Styela clava: one gene and its partners. The main gene of each other region encodes a partner of the protein of the gene in region 2 in a complex. Links are inferred from orthologs where the notes say so. Each region holds a gene or a part of one and is shown on either strand. Other genes may lie near its edges. The genes, in order: integrin beta-1-B-like, fermitin family homolog 2-like and paxillin-like.

The links.
Region 1: the proteins of fermitin family homolog 2-like (region 2) and integrin beta-1-B-like are in contact, whole or in part, in a crystal structure (PDB 8TEE), measured with the Mus musculus proteins. The link is inferred for Styela clava from reciprocal best matches to the Homo sapiens genes FERMT2 and ITGB1. Residues at the interface, in NP_666166.2 of Mus musculus: Phe609, Ser610, Asn611, Met612, Lys613, Gln614, Trp615, Asn616, Val617, Asn618, Trp619, Glu620, Ala629, Asp630, His647, Ile654, Ser657, Thr658, Lys674, Leu675, Ser677, Gly678; in NP_034708.1 of Mus musculus: Ala786, Val787, Thr788, Thr789, Val790, Val791, Asn792, Pro793, Tyr795, Glu796, Gly797.
Region 3: the proteins of fermitin family homolog 2-like (region 2) and paxillin-like are in contact, whole or in part, in an NMR structure (PDB 6U4N), measured with the Homo sapiens proteins. The link is inferred for Styela clava from reciprocal best matches to the Homo sapiens genes FERMT2 and PXN. Residues at the interface, in NP_006823.1 of Homo sapiens: Gly42, Gly43, Met45, Leu46, Glu50, Lys55, Lys56, Trp58, Ser59, Leu73, Thr75; in NP_001074324.1 of Homo sapiens: Ala562, Phe563, Cys564, Leu565, Gln576, Lys579, Tyr581, Lys588, Leu589, Phe590.

What each region holds. Positions count from the first base shown.
Region 1 is NC_135261.1:8,767,934-8,774,992, forward strand, and holds the start of integrin beta-1-B-like, read left to right. Parts: upstream 1-4,010; 5' UTR 4,011-4,101; coding exon 4,102-4,159; intron 4,160-4,509; coding exon 4,510-4,592; intron 4,593-5,511; coding exon 5,512-5,629; intron 5,630-6,276; coding exon 6,277-6,366; intron 6,367-7,041; coding exon 7,042-7,059.
Region 2 is NC_135255.1:24,188,718-24,196,287, forward strand, and holds the start of fermitin family homolog 2-like, read left to right. Parts: upstream 1-4,501; 5' UTR 4,502-4,575; coding exon 4,576-4,671; intron 4,672-5,075; coding exon 5,076-5,178; intron 5,179-5,689; coding exon 5,690-5,823; intron 5,824-6,190; coding exon 6,191-6,290; intron 6,291-6,710; coding exon 6,711-6,878; intron 6,879-7,570. UniProt on the Homo sapiens protein: Scaffolding protein that enhances integrin activation mediated by TLN1 and/or TLN2, but activates integrins only weakly by itself. Binds to membranes enriched in phosphoinositides.
Region 3 is NC_135252.1:7,085,542-7,093,205, reverse strand, and holds the start of paxillin-like, read left to right. Parts: upstream 1-4,643; 5' UTR 4,644-4,925; coding exon 4,926-4,938; intron 4,939-7,664. UniProt on the Homo sapiens protein: Cytoskeletal protein involved in actin-membrane attachment at sites of cell adhesion to the extracellular matrix (focal adhesion). Recruits other proteins such as TRIM15 to focal adhesion.

The DNA of each region.
Region 1 (7,059 bases), on a different chromosome or scaffold from region 2:
AGCTTAGCTGCAGACTCTGTTAACCCTTCTACAGCCGGAACGCCCATATGGGTGTACTTTTAAAAAAATTGTAAAATTTATGTACTTATAGAGTATATCGCTCTTAGCTGTTTATCGACGTAATGAGAGAAGCGATAAAACCTTCCAGCCGTGACGCAAAGTGCGAATCCTATAAATATCCTGGATTTCAAAATCACCTGTCAGACGTCTGAAAAATGTGACTCCCTTCAGACAGGAAATACTCCTTTATAACGACTTATTATTGTTTTAGCATGTATTTTCAGTCATACTAACTATCCCTGACCATCCCTGGCGCTGTGTTGTTTTGATAAATATGATTTCGAATGCTCCATAGTTGGCAGAGGTATGGAGATTTTTTGTATGTAAAAAAAACGTAAAATTAATGGTAATTTTAACGCGTAAATGCGCGTATGAGATTGGTTACGCCGTTCTACGCGCATTTCCGTCGAAAAAATTTAATTTTTTTGCATTGGGGGTGGTCTGTGCAGTAATAATAAGAGCTGTGACGTCATCAGTATCGGTAATTTGACCTTGAACTTGACAATACTGTAAATACAATTGTGAATTTCAGAGTGATAACCATTTATGCTATAATAGTCGTTTTGGTATTGTTATGTTAGGAAAAACTTGACGAAAACGTTGAAGAAAAAATTAATTAATTAGGAATTAATTATTAACCCTCTACTGTACACAGAATATCTCAAAGTCCAATTTTTTTTTTAGAAATTTTTGAAATTTTTTTGCAAAAATTTTTTTCGAGGGGTGTGTTTTAAAGATATATTGCTGAATAGAACTCTAGCAGACGCTTTTAAAAACCCATGAATAAAGCTTTAGGGATTAATGGTTGACATAAAAAAATAAGTTTAAAAATACCCATAAAATGGGCAGGGCTTGAGGCTTAAAAAGGGTTAACTGATTAAGATTCGGTGATGCGCATCACTATTTCTCGTTTGAAGACCAACATTTCAAATTTGGTCCACCAAAAACGTTTTCGAAAAAGTAGTTTTTTTCAGGGCGTTGAACGGTTTCAGTAAATAATTATTTGTTTGCGTTTTACAGAAGTGCATTTCACCGTAACTTCAATAATGTTAAAAAGCGTCAGTTCCTAAATGTTTCAAGTAGCATTTCATCAAAACTTCAATACTGTTAAAAAGCGTCAGTCGTTAAATATTTAAATTGCATTTCACCGTAACTTCAATATTGCTAAAACAAGTCAGTCGGTATATACTGTCAGATTTAGGTACACGAATGTTCCATGCTATATGTTAATTACGTAAAACGGTTGACTGTGAATATAATGAAATAATTACCAGCAATCCATAAAGAAGGAGGGCGGGATGGAAATGCCTTCCCGGTGGTTGTCCACCATTAAATCAAATCATCTAACAGAAGTAATTTTGTTTATTTATTTTTTTATTGCAAAATAATTTTAAATCTTCTAACCGATAGGTGGTGGTGGTTTTATTGCGCTAGACCAGTGGTTCCCAAACTGGGGTCCGTAAAGCACTTTCGGAGGGTCCGCGAAACAAATCCATAATATGGCTAATAGGCTGATAATACAAAAATTAAGTGTCTAAATTTGCAAATACACATTTGTCGCCTTTTGCTGTTTTGCAATCACCGCTGGAGACACTGATTCCTCACCTTTTGTTTCGATCACGCTGCCCCATTTTGATATCACAGCGAGAGTTCGGTTCATGCCCCCACAAGCTTACTGACTGCATGGCTGTAGCTGACGCCGCCCTTTTGCTGGACTGGATGTCACACATGTCATTGGAGTTGTGCTTTATATAATTTTATTCGTTTCACTATACGGCGCATTGATTTTCTGTTGTGATCTTTTAATGTTTTATTTTAGCGCACAAGGCCGGATATCATTAAAAAAAATTCAAGGGGTCAGTCATGGAATTTTTTTCAAAAAGTTCGGGAACCACTGCGCTAGACTTACCAGCTTTGATGGCATCGCAATTCGCAAGTTACACATCTCGGGTTAGAATCCTATCGCTCATCGTAGGCAATGACAATGGAAAGTTCCAGTCCTCCCAAATTGAAGTGTTTATTTATCAATCATCATTTTTTTGTCAAGACAATATAAATATATCCCGGTAACGAACTCTTGCGCAACCCGGTGTCCGTTTACTACTGCGTTCCACTCCACTATAAGCAACCATATTTATTGGACACGAAATGTACATAAATATATATATGAACCATTTGGTTATTATGTTGTTGTTCTTGTTGGTATTTTTCTTATTGTTTTTATGGAAAACCCGCTTTTCTCATCAACTATTGGACCAATTGCTTTGAAATTTTCAGTGATTAAAGATTGTATTTCGAAGACCCCTTTCCTTTGATGCCCTTAGCACGTGCCTATTTCGATTAATGGTTAATCTAGCCTTGAGTGTAGCTGTGTGACTCCCAGCATAAAGAAACAAAAAAGTATAGGACTCGGTGACAAATTAAGATGTTTGGGAAGTACTCCTTACTATTGGCATATTTTTAAATCTAAAATAACCATCAATGTAAACCACCTGCTAGAGGCGCTGTGTAATGTTAAGAAACATGTTATATATATATTGAAGAGTGGAATAAAAAATACTACATCCATAAAATACTCAAATATTATTTATGATAAAAATGTTATCAATTGGGAACTTATTTAAAGAACTTATTTAAATTCATTTTTTCAAGTGTAATATTATTTATGCGATAAAACGTAGAATGTTATAAAAAATCAATCAATCATCATTTATTTATCAACACACTATAAGCATAAACATTACAAATATCAAAAGAGAAATAACTTAAATTGTGCGACAGCAGTCGTGCAAAATCTGAAAAGTGAATAAAACATAAATATCACACACGTTCACCTACCAAAAACAAAACAAGCACAAAACCTAAGGAAATCTATATACTGTATACATATTTGAGATCGAAATCAGATACCCCCGAAAATAAAATAGCTGACAGATGGTACCGAACCGCAAAGTGGCGTTAGATACTCAAAATTTTCGGGATTATGGTTTTGGGAGAAAATACTTTCCCTGGGCGAGGTTTATCTGTATTTGGTATCGACTGTGGTTGGAAAAAGTGAGTAATGTCTGCTTGTAATTCACCAGTCAGTCAGTATATGTTTTGTTGATTTTCTCCTTTGCGTTTGTCGATTCAGAGTCGGCTGATACTAAGTACAAGTTATGGTGAAGCGAAGGGTTCAATAACTGAAAAGAACCCTTGTTTCAATAGCCGAAAAGCAAAGTCAATGTCAGCTTGTCTGTTTGTCGTAACGGTATCTCATACATTCAGACATTGGAATGCAGATTTCTGATATTTTTAGGTTGGAGCTACCGTGTTTCCCCGAAAATAATACTTACGGTACCCTGGAAATAAGACCTAGTTAGCATGAATTTTTAAAATGATTTTAATAGTCAATAAAGCAAAATTATTTTTAACCAGCAAGAAATCTTTCATACTCGTTTTAAAGGATTAATAATCTATGTTTAGCAGTTATTTTAAATAAAAACTTGTTATTTATTTGTAAATGGATATCGTTTTTCATATTTTGTATATTTGAAAATTTAGTAATTCTCTAAATGAAAATAGGAGACATTCCCCCAAAGTAAGCCCTAGTGTTATTTTTCGAAAGAAAATTGAAATAATAAACTGTCTTATTTTCGGGGAAAGACTGTAAAATAACTGTTTTAGCCTAGATGTTAATGATTATATTAATCAGTTTCTAAGATCTGTAGTTACTAAGTTAAGAACTCTTGTGAAAGTCATTTTTGACTTTGGTGTCCAAAGTAGTCTGGTAGTCTAAAAAAGCACCCACATCTTCAGATTTTAGTTTAACTATTTAAGCAAGCAGTCTGTTTTGATCATATTGATGTTTGAATTCTGTAATGTGGTGAACATAATGGTTAACGTTAACATTTTTTATATTTATACATACTGTTTTTTATTTTGAGTTTAGATTTTGCATATAATTTCATTCTATATTCAAATTTTGACAGATTTCTACATACTGTGTTTTTTTATATTATTTTATAAATAGAAAATCATAAAAATTCATTACTAGCGAAGATGCGTCTTCTCTTTTCTTTTTGTCTTCTGCTTGTTTTATTATTTGAGTATGGAAATGGTAAGTGTTTAAATTAGCATATTACTGTTTTAGCGCCTAGTTTATACAGTTGTTATGTGAGTGGAGGTCATATGAATGCTTACTATATATTTTATCATTCTGTCAATCAAGATATTTATAGTATTAATGACCACAATCAATAAACAGACATCTAAATATATTTGTTTAGGGAAACTGGACTTTATTTTTGACTCAGATGCTTGTTAATGATATTTGCATTTCTCACTTTACATTATTTTTTATCCAAATAGTATTTAAAATAGTATGACTTTTATTTTGCATATCTGAGTTTTAATTACATTCATTCAGTACATTCATTTAAAAATAATACAGTTCTTCTATATTTCAAGGTGACAACCCATGTGTAGATAAGAATGCAAAATCATGCAGTGAGTGCATGCAAGTTGCTGGATGTGGATGGTGTGAACAACCTGTAAGTCTTGAATAATAACAATTAAAAAACTTCCATTCAATAAGTATGTAGATTTTGAGTCAAACAATAACTTTGATGATAATGTTACCTAATTTCCAATTTCATCTTTCATCGAAATTGTCTCGTAGATATTGAATAAAAAAGAACAGTTCAATTCAGGAAGTAGCCTACAGAAGTACTTGAAATGGAAATTACTTCCTGGATTATCTAATGTGACTCAGTATTGTATTGATGGAACTAAAATGTTTGTAAACAATATCATAAAACGTTGAGAATGAAATATGGTAGAACATAGCTCATAATATGATCATATCATATGGAAAACCCCAACCTGTTCATTTAATTACCAGTTTTCAGTTTGGTAATGGTATGCTAGTGCTAGTCTGATATATTAGTTTGTGACCTATCCTACACATAAAGCATAGATTTAAACCAGGGGTTCCCAAACTTTATTAGTCGCGGGCCAAAGTTAGAATCGGAGGGATGTTCGCGGGCCGGAAGAGTGTGGCGCCCAGAAGTGCGCGACGGTTTAGCTGGGGTTCACCACGGCTGTTATGTATCCAAAAATGTCTGTTTTCGGAGTCTAGTTTTCCTTTGTGTCTTGACATCTCTTTCTTATATGGTTCGTAACTAAATTACTGCCCTATGTAATCCCAATACGAATAATTGAGCTACCGCTATAATGTAATTGTTACGATAATCAGGTGCCTCAACTGTGATAATGGTGTAACACTTGGCGCTATCTGGAACGCAAAATAGCAGAAACAAAATCTTTTGCACACTATTTCACTTGAGCTCGGCGGGCCTTTTTTGATCGTTAAGCGGGCCGGTTTTGGCCCCCGGGCCGCGGTTTGGGAACCCCTGATTTAAACTTATAACGATTCTTTGGATTTTCTATTTATTTTTTGTTATATTCCAGGAATATGCAAACAACCCCAATCTTGTTATATCGAGATGCGATTTACCAAAAAATTTAAAGGCTGGAAAATGTCCTGATGAATTCATATTGAATCCACCATCGTCTGTGAACAATACAGGTGGGTTATTTATTATATTAAATCTAGTAAAACCACACTTAGATTATTCTGTCATTCTTTTTATAAGCGATTTAGTTTGTGGATCATTTTCGAAGCTTCAAGGCCGCGGATGTACAAAATTGGTCGAGTATGTTCGAAATTCATTATTCTGCTCCCCAGTGATTTGGTCATCATGGCCTAAAAGACCTTCATTTGTTTTTTGTAAACTCTCAAAAAAAGCTTATCGATCAAATTACAGGTGCAACAACACAAATTATCAAATTTTATCTTAATTAAATTCCATGCTTTTCCAAAAAAAACTAATTGAATATACATGACCTCTATATGTTCTTTGTTGAGGATGGCCCAATTTAGAATAGATTCAATATTCTTCGATGGTTGAAAAGAATATTTTAGTATCGAGATGTATTTTTTGATGTAGCCAACCTTGCTGAAAAGGTTATAGAATTTTAATATGTGAGACACCACCTAAATGCGAGTTATGTCAGAGTGCCAAGCGATGAAGCATGTATAAAGAAGAGTATTCGAATAAAAAAGATTATTGCTACGTCATGATAGCTTTTTTGTTCTGGGAGGACGTGCAGATGTCTTTGTTTGCCTTGTTTTTGTAAATATTTTTCTCAACATATTTTCATTTTACATTAAAGTTGATGACCCACATTCATCAGTTGGAAGCTCAGATGTTGGGAAGGCAACACAACTCAAACCACAAAAGATTGATGCCAAATTGAGGCCAGGTAGTTATTTTGACAATTCTTCAATTTTTTCAGCATTTTTACGAGTTTATATGTTCCAAAGCTCTGCGATACAAGTTGTTATTTTCCTTGCAGAGTCTAGCTGATGCATGCATATAATGAATTTTTGTATCATTATGACCATAAAATTCACAGTTACCACTATATTATTTATCAAATGTTGCCTGCAAAGCTACAATATATTATTATACTCATGTATTTATGAAAGTTATTTGTATGGTGATTATATATCCCATACAAACATATCTCAATAGTTTACTACAGAATTTTTATGGCCAAATATTTTTATGTATGCCTTCATATATTTCCACCTCTCATTCAAGTCTCATTCAATATTTTGTTACATTGTTTTGCCGTAAACTGCGCGTCTTCGAAAGTCTGACTTTGATAAGATGAAATGTTACAGAATAACTTTATTAAAATGTAATACAAGGCATTGCACCACTAATATATAAACATTAGATGATTTTCAATTCTCCTGACATTTTGGACATTCAAACTGAATCATGAACTGAAGTTTAGATATCATTAACGGACTAGCAGGCACTATTAGTGAAAGCAAATGTATATAAATTGTGTTTTATATTCTGGTACCTTCTGGAAGAAAAACCCTTAACTGTTCGAAATTTTTCACCAAAAATGCAATTTTTCCAACAGGATCTCCTGCTCAAATCC
Region 2 (7,570 bases):
GGGCATAACTTAATAATAAAGTTTAATACGTACAAGTACGTGCCCGTCCCCAAAAAACAGTCAAAACACAATAAAACAAAAACACGATGTGACATCGGGCAAAATCCTATAAATTAAAATATGAGACGTGTATGTGCTTTTCCTACAGATATATGGATTAAAGAACACTCGCTGCCGAAAAATGGTGATGCTGTAGGCCTAGTTCAATTACGTTGCAAAAGTAACACAGTGACAAATTTTGAATGTTCCATCGCAGTCTATGCACAAATCATGGATTACGGTGTTGGGTTCTTTTGTCGTTTTCGGTTAGTTCAATTTAAAATCATTGTATCCGTTCCAATGCTTCCAACATCAATATCGAATTTCCACGAACGACCACCATTCAGCCATTCCAACAGGTGAACGTGCAATCGTCCCATCTTTTCTACGCTCTGTTCCATCATCCACGTCTAGATTCATAAAAAGATCGAAAGCTCGCAATATACCCGCAACTGATCGTCCACCATTTAACTTTGAATCCAATCTTTTATCCATTAACTTCTTTAATTCCATGGATGGGCTTTGCTCATATTGATATTACGCGATACAGATTACGGATTATGACTCATCGCATAAAACAATCTGATTTTTAAAAGTACCGGTAAAGAATTTTAGCCTAGTCTATCACAGCTATTTCTACACTAATTTATTAGTACTGCAATTAAATTAAAACTCCTAGGAAGACAGAGTGATCATTGAGAGAGAGAGAGTTTATTTGTTTTGTCCACCAGAAAACATATACACAACAAAAACATGATTAATAATAAGCGAAACAATTCTCGGTGTAGACTGGGTGGCAACGATACGACCATGCGGTCATCGGAGTCTGTTACCACCCAACATTAAAATCAATAAACATGAATAAAAAATGCTTCAGATATGTTTAGGTGTGTCCAAAAACAACATTAAATTTCCATGGAAAGAAAGAAAAATTACTAAAATATTTGCGTATACACAATAGGCGTTTAAAGTTAAATAGAATTTCAGACATGTTGCACACTTGATCAAGTGTGGTATTGGTCAAATTTAACATGGATATGTATTTTTGAGTATATGGAGCGGAGTCTGAGCGGATGCGAAAAGGAAGCATTGTTACGTCACTTTTTGCATCTTGTTGATTGGCCAATGTCACGAAGTAAACAAGGAAGTCGATGCTCGGGGAAAGGTCCATGAGCTTTATACGGAAACCCATACAATGAAAATTGCTGCGTTTTATGACCTGGTGCGCCTTGTGTATAGACAAAACGCCAATCTATGCGATTTATCGACGATGCGCCTTATAGTCAGATTATTATGGTGCGTTAAATACGGTAAGTCGAGGTTTCTATTACGTCCTACCAGAACATTCCACAGGAGGCGTCGTGAGACCAAATATTGAGAAAAGGCGGCCTGTAATATTGACGTCAGAGGGTGCGTCATATAGTGCCCAAATATGGTCATTGTCGATTTAGCCTTTCCTTTTGCTCGGCTAATTTGACACGAATGTTGAAAGAATGTGTTTGAAAAGCCGCTTGTGAGAAACGTTTTCATGTCAAATAAACGTTTTGTTGAGAATTGAGTCTTTATTTACAGAACAGTGGTGTTAGGGGTTTATTGACAATCTAAGGTTAGGCTTCGGTGATAAATGTTTGTCAAATATCAAGATGGCAGGTTTGACTGGCCTTTGCATAACAGCATAATGCAGTAATGATGGTTTCTGGGTTTAGTTTTGTGAACAATTTCTTGTTTGTTGAGATGTCATTTGAAGTTTACCTTGACTTGAGTACCGTAGTCTGTGTGTTACAGTTTATAACTATACAATTGATTGGTTGTTATAATAAAACCTACCGGTACTGAATGTCTAGCCTATAATCTCAAAAATGTAACAGTATCTATCTGCATAATAATTAAACAGTAAAACAGAGACCTGGAGACAGGATGCATTTTCAAGACCTTACCGGCCAAAACTGTAGGACACAGATGTGCGACATGTAATCCTAACAAGTGTAACAGCAGTTTAGGACTGCTGCGTTATAATACTGTAATAGGACAATAGACTAGACAAATAAAACTAGTAAAATACACAACACAAACTGAATTGACTATTGTTATGGCTAGCTCTGGCAATTAACGAAGTTGAATGATGTGCTTGGCAGTCTAAATTTCTGACATTGTTACCTGGCTTCCTTTTTATTTCAGTATTTGGTCCCGAATCTATGCTTACACTTTTAGCATCATTGACAACTAAATATATTGTGCAGATTCTATTAGCCTAGGTTAGCTATGTCTGATATAATAACATTATAATTCATGCTGGGTGTTTTTTGCAACCAGGCTAAACATGAGTCTGTAAAGAAAGATGACGTATTCAAATAGATTTTTAACTGGATGTGGGAGGGATAATACCACATTGCTTGCTTGATGTGTTGGCAAGTTGTGTCGGTGACAGTAGAATATATTTTAAAAATTCATTTTGTAAACTTATGAGCATTTTCCAAAGTTAAGATTTTGTTTTGAAAATCTTATTGATGTCTGAAAGCACTTACATTTGTGGAAGATGTTTCATCTTCATCACATTTGCAACACTGGTCATAGTTGTCAAATTTTTTTGGTTCTGCCCCATTGAACAACTAACACTGACTCATTGTCTTTTTCAGTGAATAAAATTCATTCCTTGTCTTTCATTCTTGGTTTATGAATTTCATTCTATTCGATTGATGCTGAGGGCAAAAAAACTTTTCAAACGCAAAAACTTCTGTTATAAAAAACATTATAGAATTGCGTTTTAGATTGATATTGGAATTCAATATTTTTGTCCATGAATAATTCAACTTGAACGAATCAAGTTTCTCTTCGATGAAACTTTTATGAATCAAACTGACAATGCTCGAGGTCATGTTTTATTCACAGGGCAAATCTTGAGAAATGAGTTTGAAATTCAAAATTAACTGTGTTTGGGAAAATTTCACTTCGCGAGTTACTGAAAACTCTGCTTTTACCTGAAATTCTAAATTTAGAAGTTTTATTGCTATATAATATGAATAGAAATGAGTTCTTTCGCACTCTTCCCGAAATCATGTTGATTGATCTTTGAGCAAGTTACGGAGCCTATTAAAATACAAAAGCCACAGAGACCATGAGTAGGCCTACCATACATATTGTCCCAGTTAGGCCGAGAAAGTCCCGATTTTGACAAGCTCCTGGCATCTGTCCGGTAGACTTAAATGTCCCGGTTACGCACAATCATGAATATTTTTTCATATCTGATATTAATAAAACATAATTTTTTGAAAAAAAAGTGCACATTTTCTTATGATTTGAATGTTAGTATTCCTAGGAATCGAACCAAGGGTTTGTCCAATCCTCACTCCATATTTGGTTTTATATATATGATAAACCTAGTTATGAGGAATTATAGAATTGTTAAAATGATATTTGAAGCAGTTCATATCGATACGAACAGGAAAACAGCTATGATGCAAATAGATGAATCTATTTTATTGTGACAAAATCATGTGAATATTAGGACGCTACACTAGTAATTCTGAAAGTGCATAATATACTTCAGTAATCGAAAGTAGAATAACTTACCATTTAGGACAGTGGTTCTCAAACAGTGGTGCTTAGACAATTTTTCGAAGGGGCGGGATCGTGAAGCTAATTAAAAATATGATATTTTGTCAGATTTGATTTTGCCGGACTTATTTTCGATATTTAATGTGTTTTTTTGAATAAAACACACATTCGCCGCACTATCTGTTATTGGTAGCTTATTTTTATCTAGTTATTTTTGAGATGACGTGAAATTTGACAAATTTTAAAATGTTTGAGAATCACTGATTTACAAGAAATAGTGTGTTCGAATAGTTCATTTTTGTGTTTGTTAGTACAATCTTAACTCTGCTACTAGTGGAAATCATTGAGTAGTTAGTCAGTAGTTTATTCAAATTTAAGTTTATCAGACATGGGGTTAGCAAGGCATTAATACATCCTAGTACAGGGGTGGGCAACCTTTTCCGGCTCGCGTGCCAAAATCGACTAAATTTAATGACAAAATTCTTCTGCGTGCCGACCAAAATTGTCGAGAGCTCACTCAGTTGTGATGTCTTAATATATTTCTTTGGAGCCATATGTCATGAATGGAAAAAAATTATTTAAATAAATAACGGATTGTTAACAAACGATAATGATTAAACCGACGCAGAGTTTCAACAGATAATTCAGAGTCTTGAAACTTTTTATCTGAAGAAAATGGATTTCGTTTCTGAAGCCTCGCTCACGTGCCGAATAAAGGGGCTCGCATGATAAGTTCAGAACGCGTGCCAGGGGTTGCCCACCCCTGTCCTAGTACAACTGAACGATGCTTAGGGTGACAAACAAAAAGTGTTGCATAGCCTATATTTCTAAGTAAAGCGTATCAGTGATGCTTTCCTAATTACAATCTTATCAATCAATACTTCAATTGTTATTCATTCACAGTGTTATATATGTAACGTAATTTTTCACTATCATGAATTTCTTATAAGTGTTTTCTGTCACACGGATTATTGAATCACAATGGCTAGTGGTTTCCGAACTGCTGATGGGACGTACGCTGACGGATCCTGGGAGTTGAATATTAGAGTAACGGACTTGCCAATTAAAAATGATCGGGTAGGCAATCAAGCATGACAGTATTATTAGAGACATTACATTCTCTTTCTGAACAAGGCCCTGTTGAAGCGTCCACTAACATGAGCTAATAAAGTTTGGGCTGGAGTATACAGCTTTGCATCACCAACTTATTACGACCTGATTTATTTGAGAGGCGTGGAAATTAATAATTCAAAAAATCATGAAGATGAATCTGTAGTCCTTGTTTTTCAAACTGCTTTGTGAAATTATGCTGAAATGCTTTTTGATAGCAAATAGCAAAATCTGGGAGGTGTGAGAAGATTTAGATAACTATCTCAGAATGTAAAAGTACCTTTGGCTGTAGCGCATTATGGACTAGTACTGCATGGTACCCATCTATTTTTTCTTTCACATGTGCTGATTTCGTCTGGTTTTGTTTTCAGGGTGAAACAGTTTCAGAACATCTTGTACCAGTTCTTGTACGCAGTGAGGATTCTGTGGGATTCGCAATCTCTAGATTAGTGGAAGCTTTGAAATTAAAATTTGGTGAGTTGATGTACAATTAAAAATAGATCCTTTTACTGCTTTTTATATGACATGTCAATATGTTTTTTGCTCTGAACAAGGCTCTGCAGAAGCAGACTGCTACCATTACCATAATTGGGTGTGACTCCAGTTTCACATTGCCTAACTTTAACTTATTACTCCTTCCACGGGATTATGGCCTATATTGCATCCTAGTTCCAACTCTTAGAACAGGGTCATCAACCCACGGCCAGATTTAGCCCGAGTTGTGAAATAATCCGACCCACTAAGCTCCATTGAATTGTAGCGACAAAATGGCGGTTTCGAGGATTAATTAATTTTAATCTACGCTCAAGGAGTATATTATATTCTTCACACAACATAATTTATTGTTAACGGCTATTAATTTAACGAGCCTACAATTTTATTATAATCAAACAACTGGCAACACACATAAAAGTTGATGCTGAGCGCAGGGCGCAGACTTTGCTTTTGCGTAAAAACTCAATAAATATAATTGACTTTTTTTAAGATGTGACTCAGGATTGGTCAGGTTATGAGATGTGGTGGCCAAAGAAAAATAAATGGCTGATGAACAGCAATCATGCCTTGGTGAGAGAAGAAGTTCAGGCTGATGCTGAATTATGGTTCACTATGAGACATAAGGTTAGTCATTACAGCAAGGTTTCCCAACCATTGAGAATTTTTGCTTTGTATTCCCTTCAGTATTACTAGTATTATTCAGCAAAAATTCAAATCTCCGCCATCCCGTTTTCTTTTCGCCAATGTTTGAGGTGAATTCCTCGATTTGTTTTATCGAAGCTTATTTTTTCTGCCAGAGTGATGTATTCTCATACCCGGTATGGACTGGTAAGTGAACCAGAGGCTGTGGTATACACGATATGGTTAACTATCCCCATATTCGACATGGACTGGTAACCGGACCATAGACAATGGATGGTCACATGATTAAGCTTTCCCCTCCTTCCCCTTTCCCTGAATATGAAAACTCTCACATTGCCTTTGTTTACAGACACTTCGAATCCAACTATGCGATCTGCAATACGCAAATATTAGAGTTGATTTTTCATCAAAAGTTTTCACAGCGGTGAAAGAAATTTGTAGATTTTTTGGTGAGTTGGACTTTGACTGTCTCTGAGAAACCTGCCCACAGGGTGATATGTGGATAATTTGATATTTACCATCTTTTACTTTATAGCTAATGACCAATTTTTCAAACTAACGTCTTTTACACGACATCTTATTTTTTCTCACTTAAAAAGGCTGTTTAAGAGCAGCCACTGCTGGCTAGGGAGCATAGTAAGATTAATTATTGTTATCATCGGTTGAAAAATTGTTAATAAGGTTGATAAACTACGATCTGTTACTTTGTTATGCATACATGCCCTATCATTTACTTGCTGTCCCATGGTGGGGAACTCTACCTGATTTTATTGTTATCTTATGTAGACAATAGACATTGGTTATATTAATAAAACTGATCTGAACAGTATATTAGGTTCATTTGTCATATCCCTGCTAATTTGCTTCAGATATTCGTCGACCTGAGGAATTATCTTTACTTCGCGTCCAAGAGAAAAGAGACGGCCACAAAAATTCTCCACAGAGATCTCACGCAAACGGAAGTTCTTACGATGAAGGACTCATCGCTCCAAACGTTCTCAATCCAAGCATGACTCCGACATCTCCTTACACCCCAGGTCAGTTCATTTGCGTTCTTTATTCTAAGTTAGTGGTTTCTAACCCGATGCCCATGGCCCTTCGAGGGCCACAGAGCAGTTGGAGGGGGCCACAAGGTTAAGCACAGAACTGATTATACTTTACCCTTTCAAAAAATCCTCCCAGTTCTTCCTAGTTTAATTTCTTGATGAAATTATTTCACAAGGTTTTTTTTCTTTGTTGTGCATAATTTTTTTTTAACATAATGGAAATTGGAATCTGCCCATCAAAATAGCACTGGAATGATTAACAGGGGGCCATAAGTGCTAAAAGCCTGCGAAAGGGGGCCAAGATATTAGAAGGTTGGGAGCCACTGCTCTAAGGCTTTGGACATGCAACCACTATTGTGCCTATGGATGTTCAATCTGGAGAAAGTTCTCCCTATCTTGACCCAAATTGAAAAAAAAAGTTGGTCTATTTTCCGGGAAAATTTCGGTAATAAAACTTTTGGGCAAGCGCAAGCTTTTTTTGACAGTTTGACAGGAACGCTCATTCAACTTAATATTTTTGGGGTTATTTTCAAAAATTTCAATTACCGTACTATAATTGTCGTTAGATTGAGAAATTTTGTTTTCAGAGAGTCTGAGACTACAACCTCACTTTCAACCTGTGAATTGTAATCAATGAACTTTTTTGACAAATATCTCCTTTTGGCGATAATGGATCTCTTTAT
Region 3 (7,664 bases), on a different chromosome or scaffold from region 2:
AATTTTGTCGCAATTCCGATCCCGGTTCCGCGGTCACAAAGAAGCACGGATATCATCAGACCATTAATTACGGTTTGACTAATTTCTTTCGACACAGAGCAATTATCGGGTAAAGCTTATGCTGACCTTCTTGTCTCATGTCAAACATTGATGTACGAAAATATCTTAAAAAATGTATCTAAATTAATATTATAATATATATAAGTTTGGACAATGGCGTTCTGTTTTCGTCAAAATTAGATTACTCCCCGATGACTAATTAATTGGAATGCAGAACCATTTCATTGTAGAATCACTAAATTTACTCATTTGTGAAATGTGATGTTCTGCAGATTTTCACACCAACGGAAGCTCTCAAAATTCATTATTCTACAATAACAAGATATTTTTCGTGAAACGTAGCTAACATTGGAAAATGCATTATTAGTTTCCTGACATTAATTTCCTTCGTGGCAAGAAACTTCATCAGCGGTTATTTTTTTTAAAGAAACTGCCCAGAAAAATGGGTCAAAATTTCGAAAATTCGCGTTCGTGAGACACATGGAATTCGACTCATTTTCTAGTTTCGATCCATAGTATAATTTTAATAGAATTCCCCGGATAACTAGCGGGTGATTAATTTTTGACATGATCGATTTCCCTTTTACTTCACCGTGCCTAGCGTTCATCTCCACCGTGTGTTTGTCTCTTAAATTTTGGTTACGGCAATTGTACTCAGGTACTTGGGCTACTTTGTGCTATTTTGTACGCCACACCGCCGAACCCCCTGTTACTAATATAACACTCTCTGAGTGGCATTCCCTTTCAAACTATTTTGAAACCATGAAAAGTACCGAGTCATAGAGCGAGCTGTAATCAGATAAATTCATTGCAATATCGTTATTCAATTCCTCCTCTTCAAATGATTTCCATCTATTATAGGCCTCCAGAATTACAGATACATTATATGATTGTATGATAGTTTATTATATCATGGTTTTCATACTTAGTTACATTCTTTATGGATACCGAATTATCAGGAGGGTGAGTCACATGTCAAAGTCATCATCATATCGATCTTCAATTCTTTCTCTCTTAAATTATTTTCATATATATATATATATAAATATATATAAATGTTATCATCTTTTAATTACTTAAACTATTTTCATATATATATAAATGTTATCATCTTTTACTTACTTTATTGGCCGTAATTTTCAACAACGTTTTTGTCCAGGACTTTAATCATGCCCGATCCTTACATTACGCACTGTGATATTCGTCAAGAAGACAGTTCCACCAATTCCGCGAGAAATAATGTACCGTTTCAAGACTATTGTCGGAGAGATCGTCAAAGCCAACTGTATCCTTGTACTGAAAATATCACATAACTGGTACTGTATCAATAGGCGTAGTCAGTGCGGGGGCCTGTGGGGCCATACCACCGCCACTCCCCAAAAAATCAACAATTTTGTTCAAACAGAATTTCGCGGCATTTGCAGTGAGATATAAATTCATAGCCCTCCTTTCCAACGCCATTTTGCTCTATTCCTAAACGATTTACTGAAACCGGACATTTCCTGGTTTGATAACAATAATCCTTTCACCAAATGAACCAAACACCAAGATAGATAAATATGCGCGCCTATATGTATTTGACAGCAAAGTACGTCAGTAGAGCAATTCTCGAAACGATCCTTACACATTCAGACGACACATTATTGTCACTTATAAAACTTTCAATTTCCCTGTGATCTTATCCCTTATATTTTATCGTGTGTAAGCACAAAAGAAGATTCAGAATATATTGAAAGTGTAAATTAATATACTAAATAATAATATATTTGGTATGGAATTCTTATTTTTTGCTCTTCTCTATTTAAAATTTATTTAAATAACTTCCTAGTCCCGATTAGATATTTATCTCATATCTAATCAGATATCATTTTTTTACATAGTGTATGTATATATTTTTTCCATATGTATATCTTGAGAGTGTAATATTACGGGATCTACATATTTATCCCGAGGGAGAGGAAAGCCGATAAGACGTCTTAATCATATGGCGAACCACGGCCTCTCGTCCGGTTACCAGGTCGGTATGGGATTAGTTAGCCAGTTATTTGTTTTCGGAAGCATGGACTTGTGTTATTAATTTATTTATTCATGTGCTTGCTTTAGCTGGTAACCGACTCAGATGACTGTTAATGGTCGTATCGTCACCACCAAGTCATCTACCGAAACCTAATTTTTCTCATTTTGCTATCATATATAACAGTGGCGGCGCGTGGTCATTTTGACAACCAGGGCAAGCTACTGCGGGACCAAGTCACCCCCATCTACGGGGACAAGATGAGCGCTGTAAGTTCGCCCATCATTTTATGAGTATAAAAACCATTCCATCGGTAACAACCAATCGGCAAAAGCGACAATTTTTAACGATAAGAAAGTGTCTTTAAAACCGGTCAAAGTCAAGGGATTAAAAAATATAGACATAGTTTATTTTGAAACCTCTTTCAAAAGGAAAGGCAATGTTTACCCAGATAAATACAATGACATATTAACAGAAACTTCGCGAAAGCAGACAAAACCTAAAATAAGGTTCAAAACGTTACTATGAAGAAAGGAAAGTTAATGCAAAGATAAGGACATGCGTCGCTCACTCATAGATATATATGCTGCTAGACTTCTACTGCTTGAACATATATGCAACACGCCGCGGTTTCTTGGAAGCAAAATGCTCAATAACGCGCTGATTAAAGTCATGCAGAAATAACGTCTCTGTGAATGGATAAAACAGCCAAGGAATTTAATCTATCTTGCTTCATTGTGTTTCTGAGATACGTTTTAATATGCTTCAGCGTGCTGAATGTTCGCTCTGCGTCGGCGGAAGAAATAGGCGTCGTCAAAATGATGTCCAAAAATTTTGCAGACGCCGCAAAGGTAGTTACTAGAGTGTTATCTATGAGGAACCCATAGAGCGCGCAAGTTGATGTGATGTTCAAAAAAGTTTGATTGGTGTATATACATCGCAATTCATTTTCCAATTTACCCACGTTTATCATGGGGTAAAATTTGGAGACAGTAGCCAACAAATGGATGGGAAATTGACGTGCAAATTTTGAAAAATTTTTGGGGTTCATCAAAGAGAACGCGGCAAGGTGTTCAGTGCGCAGACGATCGCCTATTTGATTCACCAGAATGTCACAGCATTCCTTTGCAGACAAAATCAAACGCTGCGTTGTTTGCCCGCGGCGTAAAGAAGCACTCCATGTGTCGTCGTATTTTATTGTTTCCCGGATACGAGATACAGCATCGCAGAAGTCTGAAATACACGACTGCACAGACGCTCCATCCATTAGCCTTTACTGCAATGCGCCGTATAATACATCCACGTGATAGAATATTGTGGAGAAAAAAGCGAGAAAAAATGAAAACTCACCATCTTCTAGCAGAAGCTTTACCCCTGCCGCCTCAATGCGTGAATATGTCAACACGTTGTTGTAAGAAACGTCGGCATTGTGTCGTCATAATTTCGGGGCTAGCCCCGATCGGCCCCGATGATTTAGTAAAAGAAACAGAAAACAAACGAGACAAACGCGGCGAGTGGAAGATAAGAGAGAATAATGAGCAACCGGGGCAAAATCGGCGTCGCCCCGTCGACGTTCGGCGAAGGCTTTGCGAGCGAAAAATGAACCATGTCGGGAGAATATGGCTAGTGTAGACTGTAGACAGTCTGTGCAACCAATATTGAGGTATTTTTCGAATATTTTTTATTATACCGAAAAAACAACCGGGGCATTGCCCCGGTTGGCCATATTGACGCGCCGCCACTGATATATATATATATTGTATGTGTTTTCTGGTTTGAAGAAACAATAAATTCTCTCTCTCTCTCCTAGGTACATTTCGATTCATCCGGGATCGTGATTTGTGTCATCACGTGGAGACGCTATAGAGCATATTGCAAAATTGTGTCTACTCTAGTAGTCGATGACAGCGGTGAATGTCAAATTCTTTATTACTAAGAGTTCGTATTTTCGGTTCTACGGCAAGTTTACATAATTACATTAATTGTGATAACAGGAAAGGTAGATAGTTTTGAACTAATTTGAAATCATGTATTTCGATAACCAAAAATATCATATTCATGAATCCAAATTGGCAATGGATTTTAATTTGGCCACCCCCCCAAAAAAAGTAGATAGATAAGTTGTTGTGTTTCACTTTTTTGTATAACTGCATCTGCATATCTATGTTTTATATTACTGTATGAATTAAAGAAAAGCGTACATACTGTACTGAAATATGAATGTAGGGTAACTTGACCGTTAGTTCTAATGCTACCATAAATTAATTCATATTTTTATATCTGACACAATTCTGAATGTTTTTCAATTATCAAATTATGAAATTGAAGTGCTACTCGATCGATTCTCACAAACTACAATTTTTTTAGGATATGTAACCTTATTAGTCAGTCCAGCATATACGGTAGTTACTGCATTGTCATACAGTCATAATATGAACTATCCGTGTCCTGTTCCTGAGCTATTCCTGTACCGGTACTGCGGAACTCATTCTTTTAACACAGTGACGTATTGACGGTACCAGTTCGCTAACGCTGTTCGTTTATCTAATAGTTTGTGTCCTATTTTCAGAATTTGAAAGCCATAGTCTGAGAGTGCTCACATAAACACAGTAACAACTTATTTCAGTACGGTATTTTATCATCAAGCAACATTCGAATATAGCGACAGATGAAAACGGGAACAGAAAATCTGTTTGAATCGTCTGCTTTCCTGTTTTTGGGGTAACAGCACTGCAATAACTTTGACTAGAGGAGCTGAGGATTGATTTGAACTAGCTCTTTGAATAAGTTTTTTGTTATTCAAAAATCTGTTTCACATTTGTGAAAAATTATACCATTTAAAAGTTGGGAGATGGAGGATTTAGGTAAGTGAAATTCATACATTCAATTTGCACTGGTCATACTTTTTGTCTTCTGCAATCTATGCTCGTGAGGACATAACAACTGAACAAGGGTGCACTGTTACATATTACACTGCTGTAGTCTGACAATGTATTACACTTTCTATTTATTATTTTTATATATATTTTGTGTGAGTGGTATACTCGGATAATTCTGTAGCAATTTGAATATTTATTCCTTTTATTTATTTATTAGTTTTACATTCACAGTAGTTAAAAAAACTAAAGTTGAGATTTATCAAGTTCGACCATAGCAAAGGTAAAAAACTAACATTTTTAATACTGCTCGAAACACAAAGACCATATGTCACAAAGTTAATATTATCAAACATACTTGGATTAAGTTGAGTAAACATTACCGCTATCATAATTATTAATTGCTTTCGGTATGTGGGTTATTACTTGTCAAATTATTAATTTATCAAAAAGGAAGTTATCAATTTTGTAGCTTCCTGCTTCTCTTGGTCAAGTAAACAGATTGAAAGGGACTTTTTGGTATGTCCTAGCACAGGGGTGCGGACCTATTTTAATGAATGGCTCAAAAATAGATTTTTATTATGCAACAGAAGACTGCGGTCATATATACTTAATCAATGTCTGTGTCAATCAGCTTTTGCATCTTTGACACAAGTCTTAAAAATCCTTGGTTGGTATTGTGTAGTTTTGAGCTTTACGAGTGTAGCACTTATATTAGAATTGAGGCGATTTTATGCAATTCGTGTTCGAAAGCACCAGTATGAATTACCAGAAAATGTTTTAGTTGTTAGTTCAAGTCTATAAGGCATAGTTTCCTAAACGTCATTGTGTACTAATAAAGAATAGACTGCATAGTGGCGTCTGCTCTTGTTGCCCACCCATACTCTTATATATATGTTTAAATGAAGATAACAAGATAATTAATTAGGTGGTTAATTAGGTACCAGTAACTTATAATTTAGATTTGTATTTATTCCTAAAACTTGTTTTGAATAGTTAACCTCATGTGTTTTGAAACTGATTCATTATGTACCGAGTACTGCAGAGAAAGTTGAGTCTTGATTCGAATATCATTTTCAATTATTATTGTCAACTTATTATATTCAAAGAGTCTTGTTGTTTTGAACAATATTTCACAAAAATTATATTCTCTTCTTGTCTGCTATCACTTGTGTGTGAGAAATAAGCAGTGATCAAACTGATTGCTTTTATAAACTATGAAGGAAAGTTTGACCTGTTTGACGGTGAACCTGTCAAGTCAATAATTATTGTAAAAAACATACTGAAATGCAAGTGATGAACATTTATAATAAAACTGGCCTTCATTCAATCTAACAATAAGTGAACTACTATAAATGTAGTTTACCTACAGTGGTGCAGCCAGGGCTGCGATTATAGGATGGAACCCACATCTCGGTATTAACCAGTCCCAAATTTGGAACTTTGTAACGACGAGCTACGTGTTACGCTCATTTACGAATGATAACAATATCATGCACATTGAACACTAAAAATAAAACAGAAGAGGATCATAAATTTTGTTTTAGGAGTTTTGAGAAAGTGAAAAAAGTTGTTTTAAGCACGCTAGTTTAGATACTATAAATCGCAAAGATTTTATGTACTGCACAGGAAATAAGAAACACTTACACCACGTGCAATGTGCATTTTCATATATTGTCGGTTTCATATTACCCTATTAAAATTACCACCACCAATTTATTCCAGAATAATCCAGATCCTGACAAAATGGGAACTATTTATTGGAAGATTTATTCAATCACTTTTCTATTTTACTTAAATGAATTGTATTCCTTGATTAAGATTCTAGTTGAGGTAAAAAGCTTTATTATTTAACGTAGTCGTTGTTTAGGTTGAATGCAAATGTTATAGAATTTCATTTTATGGGTTATTCCTTATTTACGGCTGTGGATCATATATTTTCCAAAGCAAAAAGGATCAATATCAGCTGAAAACGTTACCTTTTTTTACTATTGTTGTAATTGCTGTGATTGTCTCAAAATTCGCTGCAAGGGAATTACCACAACTTGGTATTGTTATTTTTAAAACCCCCATTTCGAATGGCCAGTCTGCACCCCTGTGTACTGTTTTTTTGGGAGACTACCCCCATTATCAATAATAAATACTAAACTCTCAATTCTCTCAATGGATAGATAGTATTAGATACTTCCTATTTTCATCCTTCCCTTATAGTCTTTTGAATACCCCTTTTTCTAACGTAAATTACTAGTATTGTCCAATTCATAAACTAGTGAATGAAAAATAAATAAAATGAAAAATCTTTTTTAAAAAGGGAATCTAAATATGAATTCCACTTATTTACGTAGTTGGCCCAAGTTTTTTTGAAATTATCCATAATTCTGAATATGAATACGAGTCTCGACCCACTACATATCATCTCCTGTTATTCGGAAGGACCTATTAATTACCAACAAAAATTTGTTATTGATTGATAATTGATATGAAATTTGATATTTCTCTAATTAACTAAGATCCTGTCGCGGACCCGGCAAAATACATGTAGGCTATATATAGCCTATAGTTACATTTTTAATAAAACCAGGGCAATCGAAAGTTCACATCTTTGGTTAAAACCGCTGTGTCTACCCATGCGACAGCCAAGTTATTTTGCAAAACAATATTGATATGACCGCAATATAACTCAGAACGTATGGGATTATTTTGTTTTTGCAAAT